Linked DNA regions of Schizosaccharomyces pombe. The gene in region 2 interacts genetically with the main gene of each other region. Each region holds a gene or a part of one and is shown on either strand. Other genes may lie near its edges.

Region 1 (6,996 bases), 1.2 Mb from region 2:
AATAAATAACAGATTATTCCGTTACACAACACATTATTGACTAAACTTCCGTATATGAATTGAGTGTACGTTTTCACCATCATCAGTCAGTTCATTCGGTCGATACGCATGTGGCATGAATTTACCAGTTTTACGTGTTTCGTACAATGACAATTTGTGATTGCCGGTTTTGATGAATTCATCATGATACGATGGATTTGCTTCACTAGCAACGCCTATATGTTTAAAATGAAGACACTTAGGTCTAGAAATCTCTGTTTTTCTGTTTTCTGTTAAATCATTTTACCGAGAATAAAGGGGTATGTATGATGGATGGGGTACTTTCAATTCTTTGCTTTTCCTCGACCCACTGTAACCCAAGCAACATGCTAAAGAAAGCGAATCGGCCGTTTTCTCGATTTGAGTAGTATTATCATTGTTATTATAATTTGATATTTTAATATTGTTTTACTAGCAAGATCAACTTCCCTTTGTTCTTTTACATAGCGCAATTCCTCCTAGCTGAACACCTGACCGACCCCTTAACCCCTCCTCGTTCTCCCTTTGCCAAAATAAAAAAAAATAAAAAAAATAAAGAAAATATCAATAAATAATTTAATAAAAATTTTTTTTAAACAAAAATAGTTTTGAAACCCAAAATTAGGTAGACTATCTTTTGTATCATGCCGTAATTCGTATTCTCCGTCGTGTTTGCCAAAATTCAATCATCACTCAGATACTGTCAATAATAGCTTTTATATTTCAAATTATTCATCAATTTCATTTGTACTTTATTCATTTATTCCATTTTTCAACTTTTATTTAGATATCCTTACTCTTGTCTTTTTTACGTTTGTTTATGTCTTTTTGATGGATGGTTCTTGCAACTCGTTTTGCCATCTCCATCTCCCGCTGCTACTCTAAGCAAAAGCATTGCCGATGCATAACAACGCCTTCCGTAATTTTTATTAGTCCTCCGTATGACCACATTTGTCTGTAGTAAAAATGAGCTGTCCAGTCGAGAACTCCAGCTTCGTATGCATGCTTCCGGATCCTATCGTGCTCAAAGACCATCCCGCTATCTTACTTTACAATGTAGATTTGAACACGCCCCAGTGTGGAGGTAAACTTTCTGGGCCTTTTGAGCAATGGTAAGTACGTGTCTTCCGTTCATTATCCCAATCAGCTACAATTTATCGCCAATACTCTCCAATGAATGGAAGAACAATTACCAAACAAACACTGGGGATTGTGCCCACAGTAGATTGCGTGTAGAAGGGATAACAAACATGCTATTGCCATGCATGCATCTACACCAAGGAAATTAGAAAAAAATTTGTTCAAAAACGAAAAACTATTCTTTTTGATAATATGTGTAAAAATAAAATAAAATAAAATAAAATAAAATAAAATAAAATAAAATACCAATACATTTTGTTTCATATAGAATATAGAACTGCTCATAAATTAAAAAATAGCCTGCATCAAAAAAATTTATTCCAATTCCCTCGTCTTTACCTAAAACAACTAATACTGTACTACTTTTTTTAAATCGCATTCCTTTAGAGCACGCACTTTTCGAACCAATACACCGCCATTCTATGCAATGCTTCCCCTTTCCCTATTGTAATTCTACCGATAATTTTATTCTCGGAGTTGTTTTATGACTTTCTAATTTACTTTGTAAATTTTTCTTTTTTTGAAAGCTCCTCCATCTGTCCTTGCTCACGTTTGCCATCTTTCCATTTCAACACTGTAGTGTACTGCGCCACAACATCCGCACTGAGTGTCTTTTGCACATACCACTGATTTTACCGACATTCCCCACTTTTAAACAACTTGTAAGCACAGGGCTTGTTGAGTCCATCAACTTGCTCTTTCGACATCTTCTAGGTCGTTGACTTTACGTAGTATAAAGTGGCATTGATGCTCGAACACAATTAACTAATCTTAACACATTGATAATTGGTTTCTTTGTGTTTTAAACAAAAAAAAATTTCATCTCTTTTGTTGTCCCATATATATATTGATTGCGTGTAACCTTGAAATAACCTCAATTTCTGTACCGGGGTCGTTGCGTATCGAAACACTATTGTTATCGTCCTAGCATATTTGGATACTGTGTACTACACTATTGTCGTGCTCTCTTTTACTTTACTTTACTCACTTTTCCTTCCTTCTTGCCCGACACGACATTGAAACTGCTGGCTTCCTAGCCTTGCTCCTCCTTTTCGACCGGACCTGCTACGTGCTGTAAATTGATTAATCGTATACAATTGTGGTTTTTGACAATTTTCTTTTATTCTGTCGATTTTCTCTTTTTCTCTTATCACGACTTTCTGCTTCTCTTCTACAATATTTTGCTAATCGGCTTGTGTTGTATCAACAGCAAAGCTAAGTGACTTGACATTACTAGAATTCTTCCTTTCCTTCAAAAACACGTGCAAGTTTGTTCCATTTTAATATCTACGTTTCCTTCCTTGATTGCACTATTTCATCATTAGAGGGAACCACTTTTCTATATTACCAAGCACCTACTTATTTGGGATTTATTTATTTTTATTTCCTACGGCTAACTCGATTACGATTAGTGCGCGGCTTTTTCTCTTTGGAAAAATTTTTCTTGTTGGAACGGTTGTCAATCGCGTGCTATATTGCTTTCCTTCTTACCCGTTTACAATTTAGCTTTCCCTTTTCTCCTTTTGCAATTTTTTTTGGGTTTTTTTTAAAACGTACACACGCACTGTGTATTCCATCTAGCCATCAATCCTTCATTTTTTTTCCACCGATTAATCCTTTTCTATATATACCGGAATTTTCCGTCTTTTCTTTTTCGGACACTTTTACGAGCTGTTGCGAATTTCGTTATTCTTAGTTTGTGTTATTTGCTTTTAGCCGCCCTTTTTCTTCTTCTCTGCATCAACATAACAGGTCAGGGACCAGACAGGACAGGACGAAACAACAACGTAATCGTTCAACCAACTTCTATTACCATCGACCTCTAACTTACCGACTTACCACCACAACACTTTCCTCCAGAATAGTTGAAAGCCTTTTGACTTTGCTGAATCTTTCTTTGTGTGTCCGTGTGTGTGTCTGTTTTTTTCAAATTCATCACTGTTTGAATATCGGCATCTCATCCTTTTTCTCAATTTCTCAATTTCTTGCCTGAGATACCGTTTGTTCTTTCCGTTGAATACTTTTTTTCTGCAGTGTGAAAAAATTCCGTTTTACGTTGACAAAACATTTATCTCGGATTGAAAGTTGTTTTCGTAGCTGTTTGTTTTAGTCTATTCCTTTCAACCGGTTTTCTTGTCTCTGTTAGATTTGTTTTCTCTTCTTCATTCTGAGTCAAGCTCTGGGTTTTTTTCTTTGTTGGAAAACCATTCTCTTTTCAATTTTATTTCTCTTTTCTGATATCGAAGCAAAAGAGCTCCTAAACGCTCTCAATTACTGTTTAACGTAACAGATATATTAACATCTTAGTATATTTGCGTTTTATTTGTTGAAACTTTCGCATATCCCCTTAAAGCTTTTTGTGGCAATCCTTATCTGATATTGATTTATTCTTTTGATTCGCCATTTCTTTCGACGTTTTTAAAGTACTCTAAAAGAGAAATTATTTAAAATACTTTAAATTGGGCTCTGTTCTTTTCTCCATCCCACTTTTGTATCTTTGCAGCAATAGTCGGTTTGGTTGATAATCCCTATATTTCTTTGGACAAGATATTATCTTTTGCTGAAAAAACACCCCATCTTTCGATTTTGAAATTTTTTTTTCTGTTTCAATTTCTTATTTCTTTCTACTGATTACTCTCCTCATCAATTCTCACTCTTTTTTCATTTCAAATCTCGCTTTTATCCTATATCAGTGATAAAACTCCTGTTTGATGCTCACCTTGCACATTGGCACTAACTTTAACGTTTTCCCTTTATATCCGCAAATTCCCTTTTTTTTGTGCTTCGTATATTAAAAGCGTTCCCTTATTAGGTTTTTTTATACATTAAGGATTTACGATTAGTCTCATTTTGTTGTGTTTTGAGATTTGTGTTTTATGTTCATCTGTTGTATTCACTTACTTCAGAGAAAAAAAAGGCGTTTTTGTTCTTTTGGTTTAAATTTTATTCCCTAAAATTTGCATTCAACTCGGATTTTTTCTTTGTTTGACGACTGTTTTTTGAAAAGGATTGCTTTGGGTCACAAACACAATACATCCATCTATTAAACTTTTGTCTTCTATACTTTTACTTCCTTCTCAAAATCTTTCCTTATATCATTGTGTGGTTTCTCTCCGTTTTCTTGTATCTTTTCTGTTCGACTTCTGAAAAAACAGCGTCTCTATACTATTGATTTTCATCTTAAATTTGCGTGTTTTCTTTTTAACTCTACGTTTCTCTCGTTTTTCTGCATATTACTTTCGGTGATTACCCTGTAATTCTATTTTGAAGGTTGACGTTTTTTTCAAGTTCCTGATTCCATAATTCTATTTAACACAAGTTTTTTACTGGAATTTTTTAAGTTATTCTGCGCAACCTTTTTTTGATTCATTTTACAACTTCTTTGTTCGTTTATAACTAATCTTCTATTGTATCACTTTTTTCTAGTGAACTTCATTAATTTATTGCGTGTCTGTTTTTTATTCTTTTAACCATGGTTTATTCTCCTATGTCTCGACCTCAAGTACCTCTGGCTTTTCGCCAATGGCCCCCCTACAATTATAAGAGTGATCCCCTTGTCAACTCAAAACTATCTCAGTCTACTACGTCTGTTAATGCAGGACCCAGTTTAATAAGTCCATCATTCCTTGACTCCTACGCCAACTCCTCATCTTTACTTCACAAGCCATCTACAAATTTGGGCAGTTTAAAGACATCTAGTCTTCTCGCCTCTGATGAAGTTTTCCCTTCTTCAGTCATGCCCCAGCTTCGTCCATTGGATTCAAGTTTATCTGTTTCTCCTGAAATGGACGGTTGGCCATGGCATCACAATTCTTCTTCTAACCCACAGGGATACGCATGGACACCTTCATTACTTTCTTCCAACGCTACTAGCTATTTACATTCTGGTAGTTCTCCTCATGGAAACACAAGCAATCATCCTTCACCTATATCATCCTTGGAGAGTCTTCCTTCTCGTAGTAGCACTGGTAGTGGTAGTCTTGATTTTTCCGGCCTTGCCAATCTCCACGATGATTCCAAATCACTGGCCATGTCTTTGAACATGGCTGGCGTCCCTGTATCCGTCGATGAGAACTCTCAAACTTCGTTTCCTTTTGTTCATGGTCAACCGGAATCTACCATGTCTAGAAAACCTAAGCTGTGCGTTCAATCGAAATCAATGACAAACATCCGCAACTCTGTTGCTAAACCGTCGTTAGTTAGACAATCGCATTCAGCGGGGGTTATTCCCATCAAGCCTACAGCATCGAATGCCTCAATTCGCAATGCTCCTTCCAATTTATCAAAGCAATTTTCACCTTCGGGTAATAGTCCTCTTACTGAGGCTTCCAAACCTTTCGTTCCTCAACCATCAGCTGCAGGAGATTTTCGCCAAGCTAAGGGTTCAGCTAGCCATCCTCATGGTTCTGGCAGTAGTAATGGGGTAGCTCCCAACGGCAAGCGCGCATTATATAAGACCGAGCCTTGCAAGAATTGGCAAATTAGTGGAACTTGCCGTTATGGCTCTAAATGTCAATTTGCGCATGGCAACCAGGAACTGAAAGAACCTCCTCGTCACCCAAAATACAAAAGCGAGCGTTGCCGATCTTTCATGATGTATGGTTATTGTCCTTACGGATTGCGATGCTGCTTTTTGCATGATGAATCCAATGCTCAAAAAAGTGCAACTATTAAGCAATCTCCTTGATATCACATCAGCTTGTATAAGATGACTTTTGTTCTTTGTTGTTATGCAATCTGGGTGAGATTAATTTATTATGACGCTTACTTTCCTATCCTCCTTGGTTTTCTTATACGGTTATTATTTATATTGTTCTTCTGTAACATTATGTGAGCTTTTCTTTTGCAATCGCCTTTACCTTGTTTTTATTTATGGTTTTATCGCAAGGTTTGAGTTTGCCAGTCATGTTCACACTTTATTCTTTATTTATTTGATGACCTTATTGGTCAAGATAGAATTTATAAGAGAAAAAAATTAAAGAAGATCATGAGTTAGTTACTCTGTCATATGTCAGGGTACTGTTTTTATTTTTGCAAATCATGTACCTTTAGCTTTTTGCAGAATGGCGATTTAAAGAGTTATGAGAAGATTGGACAATATATATTTATAGTATTAAATTCGAATCTTGTTTACTTCGTCTAGCAATGCGATACGCATGAATCGGGGTTTTATTAGATTTGTGTGGTATCTGTAATATACTGTTATAATTCGAATCAAGGGAGTTTCTTAAAATACCCAATCTTATTACGAAAATGATTTATGCAATCAGGGAGATTTGATGAGCGAAGCCTATGTATTATTTGAATAACAGTAACGTTACTGCAAAAATTTAAGTAGTTATTTGAATGTTGTGCACTTTTCATAAACATAGATTTGCAATATGCATCAAAAATTTGTAACGCAATTCTGTACTGCTTACAAACAATTTTATTCACGAGAAAACTACCAGGCTATACATAGTAACACATACAAGCATTTTTGGAAAGTTAGTTAAAAAAATTCATTAAACTCGGACTACTTTACTCGTTATTTAATCGCTATCGGCTTGCTGTTCCAAGATAACTAATGAATTGATCTTCTGCAGAGCCAATTCCAAACATTGCCGCTTATGCTGCAACTGTAGCTGTGACTTGAGACGAGGATTTTCATTGACAAATGCATTCAACTGTTCAGAACTCAAAGAATGGATGAGACGCTGATCCAGTTCACGTGGAAATTGGTAATAAAACTCAGAAAGCAGCTCAATATTAATAAATAAAACTGCGGTATTAACCAGTTTATCAGAAACGGCATTTAAAAAAATTTCAGGACAGGTGTACTTCGCTTCTTTGTGCTTA
Region 2 (5,060 bases):
GATGGACTTGAAGGCTCTCTTGTTTGATCGCATACAAGGTACACGGGTCACTATGGAGGGCTATCGAGAGGAAGGTACTACTACCACTCCTTTTAATATGATGATGTGTAACAATACCTCTCGTTATCATGTTGCAAGAATGGCTTTGCAACATGCTTTACACAATCCTACCGTGGCCGTTAATTGTAACATGTTGTGTGCCAAATATGCTTGGAAGCTCGAAGAGATTGAAAATTATATTATGGAAAACAAGGATGATCCTCCTGAAATTTATGCTGCTCCTGTCTTTAAAAATAAGACTTCCACATTATAGATAGAAATGGTGCATTCTTTTTGTTTATATAATGATAATTCTACAGAATTTAAATAAAATTACATCTGTTTTTGTGTTAATTAAAACGTTAGCATATCTTGTAGTGTTGGGGTGTACCCAAACATTGGTTGGTGGTATCACTTAGGTAGCTAGCTGACTTGGATTTGCCCGGTCGCGCGCATATTGCAATTGTGTTTTACACGATTTAATATACCAATTCTTATATACATTACTATCAATAGTTTGTGGCTGTATTTAGTAATCGAAACAGTAGAGGCACTAATTGATACCTTACGCTTTTTTGTAGCTCGTCAGTTTTTAACCTCTTCCTCCCCCTCTCAACGCACTCGCATTTTTACTTGTTTTCTATGAAGGTCGTTTTCATTTTTGAAGTTTCTTAATTACTAGCTTTTCGTAAATTCCCTCATTTGCGACTCTTCAGCATTCCCCTACAATATCGGAAATGTGGAACTTGGTATAAACTTCTGAACATTCTATTCCTTGAAGTGAGAAAATCAACCGCTTTTTCCAAACAGAAAAACTTTTTTTTTAATTCTTTTAATGTAAACTGGACAGATTCTAGTGTGTTTATTATATTTTGGTACTGTGTGAGATGAAGACGCACACATATATCCTCTAATTTATCAGGAATTTTCATATCAATTTCAGTATCTGGAGCGTTTCAAGCTCTTTAATCCATTTTTTTTCTAATCCTCAATCTTTTCGAAATACCTCAGTATAACTGAATGTTTGCTTGGTAAATCGGTAAAGTACAAAAGGTTGTTTTCGAACGAATGCACATCTTACATTTTATCGACTTTAAAACGTATCACCTTATTAATCATTAGATTTGAAGGCATTATTTAGAAGCTATTATACACCATCAAAACTTTTCAAGTTCATTGTCGCTTTCTAAACATTTGCTTTCAGATCGCCTTTGTCAACTAAACACTTTTATCTCACCAAATTTCCATAATAGTCATAATGGATGTTGTTTTTGCTCTTGGACATTTCTGTGAGGCCGAGGGGCCTTCCATTATTTTTTGCACTCAAAAATTGCATCGCTCTACCGTTTCAAAATTTTTTGAGCATCCTACATCTAAGCGCTCTATTGGCGTAACGGAGAATGGTAATGATTCACCAGAAGCCTTCAAAAATGAACTCGATAATCGAAACAATGCCGATTCTCAATCTTTACAAAGTTCTACCGAATCACTTTTCAAAGCTGATTCTGAAGATTATTTATGTAAAAAGGTATCGAAAGGACCAGAATCCCCCCGAGTAAACTCATTTCATAACTCATACTCTCGAAATCAAAGCCCTATTTCGAGAAAATCATCTTGTGTTACATGTAGTACTGTTTTACCCCTTGAATTCTCTGTACCTGATGTTCAACCACGACTTTATACAAACTCAAGTACAAACCCCGATGTTTTATACATGTCTAGTCAACATCCACATACTCAGCAACGATATTCTACCCTTAAGCGATTAATGGTTCGCTGCTTGAGCTGTGAATATTCAACACTATCTGAAGCTTCCGATTCTATGTCAAATCCTTTGTTCTTTGGAGACCAAGATAACGGTTACGTTATTAGTCAGTCTTTTTCTTTAAGAGATCCCTCTGCCCGGGGAGGACTTCGAAGATATGCGATTATTGCTACTTGTCCAAATCAGTTAGATTTGATTTTGCGATATAGTTTTATTTCTGAAAAGTTTCTTCATATAGTCCAGTTTCTAAGGATTTCTTCTTTCAATACAAAGAATGACTACTCCTCCTCCCGTTCAAAAACAACAGCCTCCTCTAGCAATGGAACGTTTGCATCCCCCAGTTTTAACATTTCTTCGTTATCGGGTTCTTCAAATATAGGAACTGCTCCTTCGTATGAGATATCCTCTAGTATCGGTGCAAATGTGTCATCTTTGGCCCACACACAAAGACTTCCTTCTTTCAGTTTTTTGCGTCGTCGAGACGATATTGGGGAGGGACGCAGTTTAGTTGATATCACATGTTGGGACGGAATCTTTGTCGGTCTTCACAGTTCGTTTAGCTGGATTCTGGAGGTTTGGGATCTCTTAGTAGTATGAAAGTAAAACTGGTTGACTTTTTACAAATGCTATAGGATGCTGGAATACTTTCAATAGTAAGATGATCGATTAATAATTTAACATTAACATTAGAAATTCTTTAGTAAATGAATACTAAATTTTCAAAAATAAGTTAACAATGAGACTTTAAACATTTTTTTGCACCAGGCATTGCATCTAACTAGTCGAATGTTTCGTCTAACTTGCCAAATGGTTGAAACTTATCTAAATCATCTCGAAGCCCTTGTACGTTAGAAAGATATTTGGATAGGTAAGCTTGTTTCTCAGTCCGCGTTTTCCTGTAGGCAATGACATCTATAGAATATGGTTCAGGGGATAAATAGAAATAGAAAAATTCGAGAATTTGAAATCGGGTGTCCTGACTTGTTTGTTTGTGCTTAAAAACTACGCATATCTGCTGCAAGCCATTAATCTGCTCAAAAAGCCTAATAGCCAGTGGACGATCTGCCATGATACATACAAGCGTTTTCATTGCAGCCACTTGCAACATAGATGGCTGAGATGGCTGTAATAAATGAATAAATAACCTTAAGGTAGCTTTATCTTCAAATAACGTCTGTGATTTTGGATGGATTAAAACCAATCCTTCAATCACATGCAGTAAGTCATCAATTAGCTTTTGAATGAATTGAAAGTTTTTTTCGTATGCCTCTTCATTCTGCTGATATTCAAGGAGACTGTCCAAAGCGTAAATGCAAGGGGTAGTAGAATTATACAATGGTGAATCCTGTAATTTTAGGAAAATTTCTCTTGGAATTTTATCATCATGACTAGGTTTCGCAACATGATATACAATAGATTCGACTTGACGCAAACCAATTCGAATTAGCTTTGGATTCCTCATACACAAATGCTGTTTAGCATTGTTTAATAGATCTTCCATACCGGATCATTATTTACTCATGCCAAGCGGGCAATAAAAATCCTTATTATAAATAAAAGTAAATTGAATCTTCGTTTAGTTAAAGATAAAAAAGAGACTCTATATTCGTTCTTAGTAATGATATAAATAGTAGGGTGGAGTGTTGAAGCAGCTACATTAAATTGCTATTTTCTAAAACTTGAGGTTTTGGGAGAGAAAACACCAGCTTGCTAAGATAGGATACAATTGAATATTAACAGGCGAATTGGAGCCATATTTGAAAAAGGGGCCTAAAATAACAAAACAAGCAACATCGAGTCCTTATAGATTTATATTTAGTTTACGATCAAATCCGCCTAATTTAATTATATTAATATCAATGGGTTTAGTTTGTCTCAAACGGTTGACATGAAAAAATTTAGATATTAAATTAAACAATAGTTATGTATTAATCGTAAAATTATCAAATAACAAAAACTGCAGTTAATTTTGAGCTATTTAAAACAATATAAGATTACACGAAGCTTCGAAGAAGCTATGAAATAAAACAATTAGAATGCACTAATTAACAGTTTCGATGGAGAAATAACACATGAAGTGCATACAAAATGCAAGGAAATTAACTAGAGACACCATTCACGGAAAAGTATAGAGGCTTTTCCTAGAGTGCGAATGAAAGTAGAGAAATGAGACAGAAAAGATTATGAAGATAGTTAAGGAAAAATTCATCTAAAACATAAGTGACTGTAGATTGTTGGACATAATCGTATCTTGAACGGATACCATTACCCTTTGGAGCAAACTAGTGTCTGTAGCTGTGGTAAAATGGCAATAGCAACTACGAGAAGCGATGCGATTAAGACTTTCAAACTTTAAGTAAAAGTAATACATACCGCTTCGAACTGCGTTGTCGGCAAGAGGGCATTGAGTTTGTACGAATGTTGGTGTTGAACCAACTTCTTGGTAATCAGGAAAATGCTTCTGGATGGGGGAAATGTGAACCTTTCTTTTAAATAAATCAAGTTTATTTAGAAAAAGTATCATTGCTGATTCTGAAAACCAGCTAGAGTTACATATGGAATCCCATAATAATAACGCCTCCTGCATCTGATTTCCTGAATTGTCCTCTACAAGGCATTGATCGTAACCTGCCAAAGAAACGAGAAACAACAATGCAGTGACATTTTCAAAGCAATGAATCCATTTTCTGCGCTCTGATCTCTGTCCTCCTACATCAAAAAATCGGTAATGATGACGATTTAACAGAAATGTTTCTTCTGATATACCGGTCGTCTTGATACGACAGTGAAGGATATCTTGATCAGAAGGTATATATTGTGGGTCAAAAATTCGATCAATGTGATCTTGATAGTAATAAAAATTGTCTAACAAAGAGAGGTTGGTACCACAACTTTGCACCGTACGAAGTTTGGTATCCAATGTCAAGGCATGAACAGCTTCATATATTTCTGGAGAAAATGGCTCATTGGGTTGAGAAGTGTGTTTTCTTAGGATAACTGCCCGATACTTCTCATTTTCCGGAAGTAAAGAGACATTACTATTATCCATAGCTTCAAGAAGAAGACATAGAGAGGAGATGATATTTTCAAAAATCATCACTCGATACTGCTTTCTAACTACTTGACTAAAACCGGGGCTATACAATAATCTCATCTGCTTCATAATGGTCGTTTTCCCACTATCACCGGCGCCTAAGAGCAAAACTTTAATGTCATTTCCACCTGAAGTAGAATTTCCTTTTACGCGTACTCCAGA
Region 3 (3,106 bases), 1.9 Mb from region 2:
AAAAAATAAGATGAAAAGCAAAAAGACTAAAATAATAGGGAATTAAAAAGTTCAGATTATTTCGCACATTTACTATCTCACATCCACCACCATTCAGTAAGTAGTTTCTCAAATAACGATGCAGTCTTTTTCGGTATTTAACAGAAACCTGAAATAAAGATTCCAGAGACATATGATACATGAAATGTTATAAATAAAATGAATTGTATGAAGATAGACACTTTAGAGAATGCGAGAATATTTTGCACAAGTAGCCTATGCAAAGGCGATATGCCACACTTTTCAAAAGTAGTTAAAAGAATGCAGTGTCATAAGAAAAAAGTGGAGGAGTAGAAAGAGTAATTTTAGCAACTATTCTTTATGGTAATCACTCAAGTGAATGATTGAAATGAAAAGAAGAAATTTTCCATAAAAAATTGTGCTAAGGTCTGGATAAAATGGTAATGGTAGGGATAAAATAAAACATTAAATTGGTAAGTTTGGGAACCGAGTTTACCTCCCATTTCCTGTTCCTGAATAACTACAAAACTGTTCTTAAACCATGCTATCTACCAAGTCTTGCATTGGTGCATATTCCTTGTTATCCATAAGGCTGAAATTTGTTGTTAACATCTTTAAGTAAGTAAATTGAAACACATACCCAAATTCCCTACAGAAAAATACAAAGTGTTTAAATGATGTATTCAGATAGCTTTCAAGCTCCATTGCTACCATTACGTGAAAGTGGGAACAGTAAATATGAGCATAAATGCGAAACAACCTTCGAAATATTTGCTGAATCACTTTGCGAAAATTCTTTGGGAATTCAACACCAATCTCAGTGGGGAAGAGCTTCTTGTCATCCAACTTTTCTTGAGTCCAATCCAACAGATTGTTAATATAGTCGGGAGCACTCATGCGAGTGGGTTTGGTGTATATTTTATCATCCTGCCAGTAATATTCATAACTTGGTCCAGCATTCATTTGAGGACAGGAAGCCGCCGTACAAAATTCAGTGATTGTACCATACAACATATTAATTTGTGTATAAAAATCCATTGCTAGAAGTATTCAATTAATAAAAGTTCTTGAAGTGTCAATTTTATATCTTAGCTTACTGTTCATAGCAATCCATTCATTCAAATCTTCTCCCTTGGGCAGTTTTACTGCTTCCATCAAAGAGCCAGATCCCAGCGTTGCTTCAGCATATTGCCGTAGTTGATAATGCTTCGTTCCCGCTTCAGTCTTCCTTACACGGAATGTCTTCGCTGTCTTATTACTAAATCCAAACATGAAAGAAAATGCAAAAAAGTTGGTATGAGTTGGGTTCTGGTAGGCTTGGTTTGTGCCAACCTTCCACTCATCGTCCCTTCCTCGTAAACAAACGTGGTCATTCTACCGTTCAACTTTCAAGACCATCCAGCCAACCAATATTAAGCGCAAATTAATTACTGGAATACCTATCATATTCATACGACCGTATGTTTAGGTCCGAGCACTTTTACAAATTGACAACGTACGATCGCTACTTCTTTACCCACTGCCTATAACCACTGACATTCCCTGAATTACACTTTGGTGCTAAACGTGCGGCTAAGAAATTAAAAAGAAAGCAGAGAGCTTTTAATTTTCTTTTTGGGATTTTTTTTGCTCAAATTGGTGTCTATTTAGTGTTCGTGTACGACTTTTACTGTGCGGTGAGAAACGCGAAAGGGCATCACTAAAACCGACTTTGCTAACTTTCTCTGGATTCTATTTAACAGTCTTTTATTTCTTGAGATTTGATTTAGGTTCCTTTAATTCATTTAGGTTTGACAACATGACATGCAGAATTGCGATTCGCAAGTATTCATTCATATTATGTTTGGCTGTTGGTTCAGTTACCATTTATACCTCGGAAGTTATTGGAACTCCTCTGTATTTTGTCAACAAGGAGCTTTATAACAAATATATTGCTTTTACAAAATCATTCGCCGGTATTCTGTTTACCGCTTTGGTCCAGCTTTTTAGTCCGACTCCTGTAACTCTCACCTATGATCCCGAGCTTCGAAATTTGTTTTATTTGGATAGAAATGGTTGCTTGGAAACAATTGCTGCTGAACGCAACATAGTTATCGCAAACCATCAACTTTACTCGGACTGGATGTACGTTTGGTGGTTATCGTACACTGCTAAACAGCATGGTCATGTTTATATTATGTTAAAAAACTCTCTCAAATGGTTGCCAGTTATAGGTTGGGGTATGCAATTGTTTAGATTCATTTTCCTTTCTCGCAAATGGGACAAAGACTACGAGACTATGTCTCGTCATTTCAAGTTCATTCGCAATGTACGTGATTCCGTCAGTCTCATTCTCTTCCCAGAAGGAACCAACTTGGTTGAAAGCACATATCAAAGGAGCAGGGTGTATGCCGATAAAATTGGAGTCAAAATGCCAAAGCATTTAATGCTCCCACGTGTGCGAGGGCTCTTTTATAGTATCAGTCAGCTTCGTGATTCGATGACTTATTTGTACGATTACACATTTTATTTTTCTGATCCCTCTCCTAAGAAATATGCCGCCGATGCTTTCTCTTTACCTAAGCTCTTTTTTGAAGGAGTCCCCATCAAAAGGCTTCATATTCACGTTCGTCGCTTCCCAATTTCGGAAATTCCCACTGAAGAAGATCAGTTTACGGATTGGCTTTATCAAAGATGGTATGAGAAAGATAAACTTATCGATACGCTTCTTGAAACAGGGAATTTTCCGGGCCCTAAGAAATTGCATACGACTGTTCGATTGAAGCACAGACTTGAAATTCTTTCTTTGTTTTCCGTACTTTTCACGTGCATTGTTGCTGGGTTGTTCCTCAAACTATTCATTTCTCACTAGAAAAAACTGTTATTTATACCCATTTCTTTCCATTTCCCTAAACCATATGGTTGAAAAGTTACCCATTTACACTACATAGATTAACTGATTTTCATGAACATTTTTTAACAGATTGCAAACTGGATTTTCAGTGTTAAGGAATTACCGCATACATTGCGGACGATAGTTTTATAGTCATTAGCTTTCTCTTGAGCTTTGAGATTTCGAGATAAATTATTCTGTACACTTTTTCTCCTTACAACCATCCTCTTTGCC
Region 4 (4,220 bases), on a different chromosome or scaffold from region 2:
ATAGAAATGAATTATCTTTTCTCTTGCCGACAAAATTTCCTCCAATGACCAGCAATAATAGTTAAAACAATCATTGGTTTCTCTGTTTAAGTCATAGTGATTAATTTGTTGAATTATTATTATCATAATAAATGCTTGCTTGGCAGCATACTACAACCACTGTTTTCCAATGAAATACTTCGCATACTATAGTAATTAAATACAAGTTTTCCCTAGAAATACCAACTTAAACATATGTTGACTAAACATCGGTGCGAGTGAAAGCAAACACTAATTCTTACTCATGTATCCAAGTTGTTTGTCAGGTTTGGGGAAACTAGTTTTACCATTTCAGCCGTTCAACGATACGAACAACTTCATAGTTGTATTTCCATTTCACAAAGATTAATCTGTAGATTTTAGATGATGCAGAGTTATACACAATACTAGGGTGATGAATAAATATACAAAAGACAGATACAAGTTGATAAATTATCAAAATTGTCACAGCATTAGTTCATGTACGATGCTTGAATTTGAATTTATATAAAAGCAAATTAAAAACAATAATATTAGTAAAATTAAAAAATCCCAAAAAAAAACCAAACATAACTCATTATAATGCAATGCGATGCAAGTTGTACAGCTGTCATCATTAGTGCTGTCTGCGATCTACGCCGCCAACACATATATTTCTCTGCTTATGCCGATTTAAGGCATCAAGTCGGTTAAATCTCTTTAAGCATTCACATACATATGGCCTGCCATTTTCGTGAATCCTCAGATGACGCTTAAGATCGTGGTGACGAACAAAGCCAGCTTTGCATAAGTCACAGCGATACGGACGGTCGCTCAGATGTGTTTGAATATGCGATTCAACATTATATTTGCGAGCAATACGTTTATTGCACCCGTTGTACAAACAGACGTACTTTCCATCTGCTTCAGGGCCGCAATATAAGCTAGCCATTGTCTCCGGAGGAATTCTACAAATCCTAGTTGATTGCTTGCGAGTTTTGCATCTATGATCGTATGAAATTCTGACCGGAGGTTTGGAATCATGCTCGGTGACTTGAGGAGTAATTGATAAATCAGCAGATTCAATTTTTGGAGCTAATTGTTCTTCTTCCTTGACAGTGATACAAGGTTCAGGTTTCTTGGTAACTATGCAAGATTCATAAGGTGCACTTAATGCAAACTGCTGTGTCAAAGTGTTGTTGATATTTGCGTTCGATATGTCAAGTCCATGATCGCAAACGGATGAGAATTTTTCAAATTCAGAAACGTATTCAGCAGGTGATGATAACTTTGCAAACGCTTTCTGGTTGTCAGTATGCCTGCATACATCCAAATGGGAAAACGAAGAATCTAGAGCAAAGGAGGGCTTTTGAGGCGAAGTGGGCTCTAGCTTTACAAGTTGGGCAAATGGGGATACAGGGGAGATATTAGGTGCAGTCTCTGGACTCGATAAGTCTACAGGATGTGCCGGACTTGGTTGGGATATTTGAAAGTTCAATTCTTCAAATGAAGGCGCACCGTTTATCTCATCTAATCCAGGGGGAGAGGATGGGAGGAACATAAACTCATTAAATGATTCCAATTGCGAAGAGCTGGGAAGAACGGAAGAGGCAGGACCCGAGGTTTCAGGTATACTTGAGGAAAGGTAGTCGAAATTTTCGAGGTGATCTTTGTTGGAGCAAGTTTCCGTCTTTATTTCTGGTATGTCAAACTCAGGAAACGAAAGGACTTGTTGTTGAGAGTCCAGCTCATCAATCCAATTTGATGCATCATAACCAATTTCGGAAAAGGCCTGTTGAGAGTTGGTCAAGGAAAATGCGTCATTGTTATTAAAATTTTGCTCGGTATGGATTTGTGATACGCAAGTTAAAGGCGAGGAAGGGGGTGATAAGGAAGCATCAAAGGAGGATGCATACGAGTGAGAGTCGGGGAGCGATATTTGGTTCGATAAAAAGTATGCAGAATTCGCTTCCAACAAAGGGTTAAACGGTGTTTTTAGAACAGAACTATAGTCAAACTGATCTTGAAAGTTCTGAAGATGAGAAGGCGGTGAAGGGATAACAGCTTGATTTAAAGACACCTCATTTTCAAAGGGAGCGAAGGAGGAAAAAGAAGTATGCTTGCTATCGCCAAAAGTTTCATAATCCCTTTGGTACGAATGATTACAAGCTGGACTCTCTTCTTGTCGAAATGATTCAAACGACTTTTGCGAAGAAGATGATAAATATGAAAGCGACATTGTCTTGTTTACTTAGGATAGCGAGTATCTAGTGCAATGCGTAGAGAAATCAAGGAGAGAACGATGAGAGAAATGACTCTTGAAAAGAGTGCTTGATAACTTGAAGTGAGATGAAAGTGTGGCTCAAAGCCAGTCTAACCCAGTAGATGATTGAACTAATCACTCTTCGATTTTTTTTTGTTTGTTACAGCAATGTTTGGTGCGCTGGCTATTTGTTTATATCAAATAGCTACTCCGTTGCTATGACGACAATTGTTGAATTTTATGCTTCACTTTACCGCAAAACAAGTCACTATTTGTTTACATTGCATGGATTACCGAACCATATCACAACAACGCAATACAAGTGTAAACACAGACCCAGGGATTGTTTATTTACCTTTTGTTGCCAAAGGGACAAATCAACTATTTTTTGAATTAAACCAGTAAAAGGTTTGATTGAAAGACACTACCACTAATAAACAGGATAATCACGGCTATGAAAATGTCTACGCTTCAACAACTGGATCATGGATGATATTAGAAAACATAGATTAAGTATGACAAGCCAAAAAAAAACGGTAACCAACCTGAAAAAACGACAACGACGTTGAGATCAAAAACCTTAAGGTATTAGTATTAGTATAGAGCTAGCAAGAGAAAAAATGCCATGGAAAAGTTTTTAAATGCAATGAATAAGTTACTTACAACACTGACAATCAAAAGGGCAATCCGGTGTACCTCCACCTTGGCCAATGTTTAATTCCTCCTCGTCATATACAAGAAACCCTTCCTCGGTACGCTTTCCTAAAACACAAAACGTTAATACAATTACTGATGATAAGGAGAAAAGTGCCGTTGCTAGGTAAGTATTGCATCGTTCGGCAAACATTCCCGTAAACAGAATAGCGAATAAGGTTCAATACCACACAATAGAGCTTAATGATTTGGAGTCTCCACCAACACTAAACATCATTGTGAAATGTATCTCCCTAGAAAAACGTAATCTAGCTCTAGCAGTATATAATAAATAAATAAGTATATAGCACAGTTCGAAGTTTCTCAATCTTTTAGACAATAAATATGAATTTGAGGTCAAAGAATTGACAAACAACGCGGATGCCAAACATGAACGAATGCAATCATTAACCAAGTAGCGAGAACGTATGTAAGGATGAACTATCAAACGGCAAAAAGTGTCTTACTTCCTGAGGCTCCCTTTGGATCTAAAAATAAATCGTCTTGGTTATTAGTAGGTTTTGGACGACTTGGAGTAGATTTTGTCTTGGCTCCTTTCTTAGGGGCTTTCGCCTCCGACTTTGAGTCATTTGACTTTTCATTTGCAGGGTTTGCCTTTTTAGAAGCAAAAATGTCGTCGATTTCCATCTTTTAAATACTCGTAGAGAGGAGTTTGCCAAGTCAATGGCAATTGTATAATTGAGTAGAGAGACAGTTTGTTGTAGCTTGCAAACTTGCTAGAAATTCTTTTGCGGTACCGTGCTTCATAAAATAAGAATTCTCTAAAATGCTTAAATCTGCATAACGTATTCTCTCGTATTACGGTAAAGAATTTGTAATATTTATAAGAATGATTCTTCAGAAGAAACTTGTACCAGCATTAAGGCATGAGATTGATCGATTCCTTTTTTTTCCTTTGGTTCTTTATTATGTTTAAAATTGTTTAATTTTGTTTAGAAGCTGTATCACCTCTGTCATCGGTATTTCGAAACGGCAATAAAATGTAGACAATTCTTTGGCCAAGCTTTCTTTATAAAAGCATATTTAGGTCAACTCTATCCTAATACCATAAATTAACACTTTTTGTCTTCATTTAAGAAGCGAATTATTGCTGTATCAAATTAACAAATGCAAAATCTCATTGCTTAATAAACGAAATACTTTAGTAATTAAGCATAAGATAAAAATAAAGTGAATACTATTTGACAATGAAAATCAGCTCAAAACCTCTGTCAATTCTTTTTCAGCCTAGAAACCACCTTAGAGA

Evidence for each region.
Region 1: of cdc14 (region 2) and zfs1, a mutation in one rescues a mutant of the other (synthetic rescue), as found in Schizosaccharomyces pombe (one study listed by BioGRID).
Region 3: mutations in cdc14 (region 2) and mob1 are lethal when combined (synthetic lethality), as found in Schizosaccharomyces pombe (one study listed by BioGRID).
Region 4: of cdc14 (region 2) and ace2, a mutation in one rescues a mutant of the other (synthetic rescue), as found in Schizosaccharomyces pombe (one study listed by BioGRID).

What each region holds. Positions count from the first base shown.
Region 1 is NC_003423.3:3,482,303-3,489,298, reverse strand, and holds zfs1 (zinc finger protein), read left to right. Parts: upstream 1-1,852; 5' UTR 1,853-4,630; coding exon 4,631-5,845; 3' UTR 5,846-6,451; downstream 6,452-6,996. Other genes in the region: dynamin family GTPase Msp1, read right to left, coding at 6,690-6,996. UniProt on the Schizosaccharomyces pombe protein: Binds to specific AU-rich elements (ARE) in the 3'-untranslated region of target mRNAs and promotes their degradation. Binds to ARE present in the arz1 mRNA and stimulates the rate of arz1 mRNA decay.
Region 2 is NC_003423.3:2,330,515-2,335,574, reverse strand, and holds cdc14 (SIN component Cdc14), read right to left. Parts: upstream 3,450-5,060; 5' UTR 3,306-3,449; coding exon 2,583-3,305; 3' UTR 2,402-2,582; coding exon of another isoform or gene 1,298-2,401; 3' UTR 546-1,297; downstream 1-545. Other genes in the region: SPOM_SPBC24C6.09C (phosphoketolase family protein), read left to right, coding at 1-313; folliculin bhd1, read left to right, coding at 1,298-2,401; gpa1 (G-protein alpha subunit), read right to left, coding at 4,014-5,060. UniProt on the Schizosaccharomyces pombe protein: Has a role in the septation initiation network (SIN) required for cytokinesis.
Region 3 is NC_003423.3:468,854-471,959, forward strand, and holds mob1 (Sid2-Mob1 kinase complex regulatory subunit Mob1), read right to left. Parts: upstream 1,311-3,106; 5' UTR 1,273-1,310; coding exon 1,098-1,272; intron 1,041-1,097; coding exon 641-1,040; intron 593-640; coding exon 535-592; downstream 1-534. Other genes in the region: mlg1 (1-acylglycerol-3-phosphate acyltransferase), read left to right, coding at 1,799-2,851. UniProt on the Schizosaccharomyces pombe protein: Has a role in promoting the onset of septum formation during the latter stages of mitosis.
Region 4 is NC_003424.3:3,238,732-3,242,951, forward strand, and holds ace2 (DNA-binding transcription factor Ace2), read right to left. Parts: upstream 2,423-4,220; 5' UTR 2,237-2,422; coding exon 635-2,236; 3' UTR 501-634; downstream 1-500. Other genes in the region: SPOM_SPAC6G9.01C (uncharacterized protein), read right to left, coding at 2,832-2,839, 2,924-3,022, 3,421-3,601. UniProt on the Schizosaccharomyces pombe protein: Regulates the transcription of genes required for cell separation.